2 linked regions of the Arabidopsis thaliana genome follow. The protein of the gene in region 1 interacts with the protein of each later gene in a pairwise test. Each region holds a gene or a part of one and is shown on either strand. Other genes may lie near its edges.

What was found.
Region 2: the proteins of CPL1 (region 1) and AT3G54290 interact in a two-hybrid assay, tested with the Arabidopsis thaliana proteins (one study listed by BioGRID).

What each region holds. Positions count from the first base shown.
Region 1 is NC_003075.7:11,508,838-11,512,593, reverse strand, and holds the start of CPL1 (C-terminal domain phosphatase-like 1), read right to left. Parts: upstream 1,606-3,756; 5' UTR 1,084-1,605; coding exon 766-1,083; intron 528-765; coding exon 51-527; intron 1-50. Other genes in the region: AT4G21660 (proline-rich spliceosome-associated (PSP) family protein), read left to right, coding at 2,822-3,043, 3,164-3,415, 3,501-3,563, 3,660-3,756. UniProt on the Arabidopsis thaliana protein: Processively dephosphorylates 'Ser-5' but not 'Ser-2' of the heptad repeats YSPTSPS in the C-terminal domain of the largest RNA polymerase II subunit (RPB1). This promotes the activity of RNA polymerase II.
Region 2 is NC_003074.8:20,104,497-20,108,252, forward strand, and holds the start of AT3G54290 (hemerythrin HHE cation-binding domain protein), read right to left. Parts: upstream 1,720-3,756; 5' UTR 1,350-1,719; coding exon 704-1,349; intron 614-703; coding exon 465-613; intron 385-464; coding exon 127-384; 3' UTR 1-126.

The DNA of each region.
Region 1 (3,756 bases):
ATACGGGGAACAGAAACTAACAGACATATACTGATTCAAGACTTGCATACCATTGGGTTAATGCGAGTCAGAATAATATTCTTCTCTTGCAACCTTATCAGAGGGCGAACAAGAGGCTGATGGTTGTCAGACAAGGCAGGAACAATTTCAGATTGCACCTTTATCACCTCCCCGTTTTCAACAACCTGGTCACTTTCAATATATTGCTTCAATAGATTTTTGTCATCTTGATAACGCTTCATCTCAGCCACTATAACGGCAAGGCGTTGAGGGTCCATCTCGTTGTTTATTCTCCGCTGAAACCCGTCAATCTTATCCTCAAATGAGCGCATGGTATTCGCCACTACAAGGGTTTCATCAAGATCAAAGACAATACCCAGACATCTAAGATTCAACATAACAAGACAGGAATCGTAAATTCCAGGAGCAACACTAAATGCCCAGAAACAAGGACGGTCATTCTTGATATTTTCCGAGTACATAGCAACCAAATGGAGCTCTTCTCCACCCAAGAGCATTACTGCTGTCTGCAAGAAGCAAAAATCCAAAACTCACAAATATGAGGACAATTTGTAACATAACAAACAACACAAGATTCAAACCCCCACTCTACTAAAAGTTTCTAAAGCCCCAAACTTGATGCAGCTCTGACATTAAGGAAGTTAAATAATGACACAAAATCCTATTTATCATTAAGTGTTTTTGAGTTTTAGTTGATAAAATCTAAGTCTGAGTAAGGCTTAAAGGTTCGTAAGGTTTAGATACCTTGTTGTCCCTGAGACAGGACGAGTAGAATAAACTGAGTGACTCCTGAGCTGGAGAAGGTGAAGCTTCTAATTTGAAACAAAGGCCACAAGATGAAATTGTAGTAAGTATTGCAAGAGGAGGACACCTCTCGCCAGATTGAGAAAAGTGGCTTATTCTGATTCCCATCTTGGCTAGCTCCATTACTTCCCTCTGTTTCTTCTTCCTCTGCTTCATCACATCATCTTGTTGCTGATTCAATTCCCTTGAAGGGTATATCTCCAATTCTCCAAGTCTTCCATCACCATGAAACACTTCTACTCTATTATTACTATACATACTTTCTTTTCTCCTTCTCCTTCTTAAAGTTTACAGATCAATGGATGTCTATTGTCTCATCTCAAAATTGGTTCATCAAAATCTAAACTTTTTGTTGTCCCTTGGCCAGAATTGATAGATTGATCACCAGTCCACACTAGTTTATGAATTGGATCCGAGTTTTTTTCTTTAGCAAGAATCAGGAAAACAAAAGGAAGATTTTTGATAAATGGGTAAATAAGAGAAAGAATGAAAATTTAGTGTTTGTTCCTTAAGATTTTGTTCCCTTTGAATATAGATCTGTAAAATACCGATGATGAATCCACAAAAAAAAACCCTAGTTTCTTTCTTCTTCCTTGGTTGATGATGAGTTTGTTTGTGTATCTGGGAAAAGTTTATTAGGTTTTGTGGCGTTCTAAAAATCGAGAGAAACCCTAGATCCAGATAACGAAGAGTCAAGATTGTGAATACGGCATTATGCCTTTGTCCTTGGTTTTTTTAAGGGAAAACAAAACACGAAGGGCCCCTTCATTTTCTTTAACCGTTCTTTTTTTTATTTATGTCTTATTTTAAAAACAATTAATACTATTTTTAAAAATTAATAAAAGCCTGAAATAGTTTTTATCAGCTCAAAACCTGTCAAATTCTGTTTTTTTTTCGATTCATACCGTACTTGTAATGTACTTTTATACTTGTGTTTCTGATCTCATGTTTTGATTTTTACAGTGTCAAGGATTCATATACCACAAGATATTTATAGTTCATCTAATTCTTTTTTTTTAGAAGATTATTTATTCAAAAGACATGATATTTTTGACATATACTTGTCTCTTTATTTGTGAAATATTTTTTATCTACCAAGCATGAATATTTTTTCACATATATCTTTCCCCTACTCTTTTCAATCTTTTCCTTATAAAATAATAGTTTAGTAAATAAAAAATGATTTATTTTGTTTTCTAAAATACACAACTACGTAAAGATAATTTTTTTTTATAGACAGTATTTTTTTCCTTGTTTAAAAATAACCGTTACGTACAAAAGCCGTTACAAAATTCTTTCCTAATGTCTTTTTTTTCCGTGTTCTTTCCTAATGTCTTATGAAAACAATTTTGAAACTAAAAAGGCACAATGTATATTGTTCTAATTGCATAATAAACAACCGATAACATACACCGGGAGTCGTGCTCACATTAATAAAATCTCAAAGTGAATAAAAATTACCTCAATTCATGTAAAAACTAAATTTTTACGAATAATAAACTAAAACATTTAAATTTTATTAAAAGTTTTGTTGTTAGTCAGAGAATTTTATTTAAATCTCAAATACCCACATATATACAATTTTGATACTTATAACTTTCTTCAAAATTTCAAGACATTGTGTAAACTGTAATTTTATAATTTTAAAAGTTCAATAGAACATTTTTACGAATAATGTAGAGTTAACTCGTGCCAACATTTATAGTAGTGTTTGAATATTGTTCCATACATTTCCTTTGAAATTTTCTATTAGTTACTAGTAGATGGTCTTCTACAAAACAATTCTTACACTCGAAGAAAAATATAAAGTGTTGGGCCTATTGGCAGATATATTCGTCTTCTACTTATATGGGCCTTATGCCAAACCGGAAATAGAATCAGAGAGAATTTCAGCAAACCGACTCTTGTTCATATACGTATATCCTCGATTTCCGTCGTTCTTCCTTCTCCTCTCAATCTCTCTTTTCACATCACCGATTCAGAGAGAACACCGAATATGACCGCCGATTCAACCGTCGCACTCGTTCATAGCGTCGTTTCTAACGGTGATGTCTCCAACGGAAACACCTCCGCTTCCTCTAAGAAATCTCGTGAGATTGACCGTCGCCGCCGCAGACGGAAGCAGAAGAAGAACAACAAAGCATCCCAAGCCGATGTAGATGCATCGGACGTTTCTGCTGCTTCTGAATCCAAAGAGAATACAGATCCCCAGCCACAGGTTAACTTTGTGCTCATCTTCTCGTACTCGATTCATGGAGAGGTGTTCTAGGGTTTTTCTTAGGGTTTGTGATTGTTTATCGTTTGCTGATGATTTTTGGTATATGTTTCTCTTTGATAGGTTTGTGAGCAGATTGTGATAGAGTATGTTCCAGAGCAAGCTGAATTTGAAGATGGTTTTAACGATGAGTTTAAGGAAATCTTCGAGAAGTTCAACTTCCGCGAACCTCTTGCCTCTGAAGAAGACGGTACGAAAGATGAGTCTGAGGAGAAAGAAGATGTCAAAAAGAAGGTTAACTCTGATTCTGATTCAGACGACGACGAGCAGGATAATCAGAACAAAGAGAAAGGCATCTCTAATAAGAAGAAAAAGGTATAGCTCAAACCTTATTATTACCTCTCAATTTGTTTTATTGCATTCTTTAGATTCTGAATATTCTGAATTTCTGTTTCCTCAGCTTCAACGGAGAATGAAGATTGCTGAGCTGAAGCAGGTTTCCGCTAGGCCTGATGTTGTTGAGGTATGGATGCTTCTCTATTGTGTTCATAGTACCAAGGTTTATCTCGTTGTGTAGATATCTATTGTATATTCATAAGTTCTGTTTTACAATTTTCAGGTCTGGGACGCGACTTCAGCAGATCCAAAGCTGTTAGTGTTTTTGAAGTCGTACCGGAATACAGTTCCTGTTCCAAGACATTGGTCGCAGAAGAGAA
Region 2 (3,756 bases), on another chromosome or scaffold:
TTTTAATTTAACAGAATGAGAAAACATAGCAACACCTGAATCGACAAATCTGACTCTATATACACAAAATTCACAACCCCACACACAACAACAGTTTTTCACAAAGTGAGCCTAAAAAGGATAAAATCAGTCAACAACATCAGAGCAGAGAAAAGATGAGATAAGATTTGGATCACCAAATGTCATGAGCAAGTCAATATACTGCATAGCTTCTTGTGGAGTGAGACCTTCTAGTAGGAAATCAAACGAGTTAGAATGAGTCCCACTCATAACTTCTAAGCTTTGATTCATCAATTTCTTCTGCTTCTCTTTCCCCATTTCTGCAGCTTCCACCATTGGCAATAAATCTTTCTCTTCCTCTTCAAAATGTGTTTTACACATCATCTATGTTCAAAAACAAAAACCTCAATCATTACAAAAACAGACAAAAGTGAAGCTTTTTGTTATTGTTATTTTAACTTTACCTGCAATGATTTGAAACGAGAAGCAAGACTAAAGAGAGCTTCTGAACAAATCCCAGAATCCAAAACTCCAATAGATTTGATATCTTCTTTGATACCATTCATCATTGGTAATTCTCTCCCATGTTCTTCATTTGCACTTTTACACATCCCTACACACAAATTCACAGAAATCAAAATTTCAACATTTGACAACAATAATCAAATTCATTCCCTAAACCTAAACAATTCTCTTTAATTACCTCGATCAACAGATTCAAGAACAGGGAACAAGATTCTCTCTTCCATTTGAGCATGTTCGAGCATAAGCTCCTGTAAATGAGTATAACTCTTTGCAAATTTCCTAATCTCCATCTTCGGTGTTCCCACAGACGGATCCACCGCTTTTTTACCTCCACGCGCCGCCAGATCCTCCGACCATCTCAACATCCTCTCCATATGCCACAACATACTCCTATGCTGAAGCCAAATCATCTTCACTATCAATGGAGTCGCTTCGTCGAAGCCTTCCAGATTAAACTTCCAAATCATCAAACGCGGCTCTGGGAACTTATCCTCGATGTAACGGAGAAGAACCTCTCGAGAACCTGATACAGTCTCCGATCCGACTTGAATCGTCGGTTTTTGGTCTTCCGATGGAACGAAACGGAGCGGAACTTTCTTGTGGAGAAGAGCGAAACGGAGATACGACGTCACTAGACTGTTAGGTGGTCCGTATAATCTCACTGTTGCGGTGAAGCTCACCGTCGATGTTTCTGTTTTCGCGGTGGGGATTCGTTGGGTTGGTGGTGCGGTGGCGGCGGCGGAAGGAGGAGGAGGTTTGACGACGAGGTCAAAGGGAGAGATCTCAGCCGTGGATTTAGTTGAGCTGGAGAAGCAGGTTCCCATATTTGGTGAAGAAAACGTGAGAAACGAAATCTAGAATCTCAGAGAGAGAGAGAAGAAGAAGATGAAGAAGAAGTTGGAGTGAATTGCAAGAAATTGGAGTTGGAGAAGATTGAGAGATTAGAGGCGCGTTTGTTGAGAGGAGAGAAAAAGGTATCACGCCATTATCATATTGCCAAAAGCTTTAGGAACTTTGAGAGACTTCAGTATTTTTCTTTCTCACCATTTAAGTGTTTCCCATAATTCAATTCTTAATAATGAATATTTTTCTTTGTTCCTCAAAAAAAATATTAAAGGAGATTTCTGACTCTTTGGAACCTACTTTGCTGTATCACTGGTCAAGTCATAGTCGTCATGAGTCTACACAATTATTTGTGTGATCTAACAATCTAAAACATGTTTGATTAGCTTCTTAAAAAAAACTACAATATGTAGTACTAATTTTAGATAAAAATACTTCCGACTTTTAATGTTGAATTGTGTACTGTACACTTTATGAGAATTTGAGGATAAGAGGAAGAAATCAAATGTTTTCTTTTATGGTTGTGATTTTTTTTGAGTGTTTTGTTTATGCCACCGATTTTTTCTACAAAAAGTGGATGAAGAGATCTCTGTGTAATTAATTCAAAGTGGCATCTTGTATATCAATTATCTATCAATTTTAGAGGATTCTCTATAGTTATTGCGAGATACACCGCATATGTGTAATGTCTTTGTTGAAGAAGATCTTCTCTATATATAAATCCAAAATAAAATTCAATGGTAATTAGGAAACCAGTTCTTGTTTATTTCGAAATCAATGGTAATTAGGATTCGGTTTCTTTTGGTATATTTTATAGATCTATCAAGCCATCGTAGAAATCACTCTTGGCCTCGGTTAAAATAAAAATATACATGTTTCGGGCAACCAAAAACCTTTAATGTATTTTGACAAAATGGTTTTAAGTAATACGCAACTATATTTTTGCTAATGGTGACTTGCGGTTCAACTGCGGATAAAGTGTGGTACGGTTCTAAACGAAAATATATACATATACACATATATATAGATATTTTCGTTACTATTTGAACCGTATCACACTATGCGGTTTGGTCACCATTTGGTGCAACCCTTTATGGTTAATGAACCTCATAATTTTTACTTAACATTAGCCATTTCTCCTTTTTCATGAATTGAAATTCACTTTTCACTTTACCTGAAAGAATTTCATTAATGATAGGATATCTTGTCATATACAGTACATCAATATTCAAAGCATCGAGATATGGAAGTTTTCAACAGTTATAACTTAAAACTCTTTCTTATGATCACTCTCTTGTCTCATCAGGGTCCTTACACACAACTTTTTTTTTCTTATTGAACCTATCTCTGATAGTTTATATATTCAAGTTTGATTGTCATCTGGAGATTTATCAATTATTGGATAGAATTCCTATTACTATCAACTAATCTACTCGCAGGCCCGTGCCAGCCATTTTGGGATGCCACTAGAAAGTTAATATGATCATTTAAGATTTAGCTAAAGTTTGGAAAACTGGAACACCAAAAGAGACATTCAACATTTACTACTATGGAGAGTAAACGCTCTTTACTCCAAAATCATCTTTCAGCTTATTTTGCTTTAGTTGTACATGAAACCTATAAACCATGCAGATGTATGGATCTCTAAATCGGGATCTCTAAATCGAATTTCATGGATTATGTGGTATATTTGAAAATACGTATGTATTTTATCTTTGGTTGCTTATGTTTGTTATCAATAAGGTCCCATGTTTACACTTGAATCATTCCTATATTGAATATTTAAAATCCATAACATGATTTGCTTTTTAGAAAATTGATTGGCTATAAATTCTCACCATCCTCAGTCATAGTAAAAACGAAGCCAACCATATATGCTTATTCATATCTCCCTTTATATCTGTAGACAATAGACAGAGAAGTTGATGTGGGGATAATTGAAAAGGTACGAAATATCCCTTTATGAAATTATTTCATATCCGCTTTATCAAACGAGAAACGGTGTAAAAAAACAACTAGCAGACATTACTTTGTTACCTTTTTTGTTCCTCCCATGTGATTTGCCCTACTTAACCTCACCTTTACGCTTCACCTTTTGCTCTTTGCTTCATCAGCCACAGAGTTTAAAAGCCGTAACATTCTATTTCGCTTTTGGGTCATCATTGTTTGCTTCTTCTTTTTTTCTCTGTAAAAACTTTATACAGTACCTACAATTTTCTTGTTCTTTTTTCTTAATATCAGTCGAAGCCTAAATGACATAACCGCATACACTACACACATGTATCTTGGAGATCACCATAAAGAAAATTGCTGATCGCATAGAATAGAACAGACACGGCAACTTGAGAACAAAAACATTTTTTTTATATATATAGCATCACAGCATGT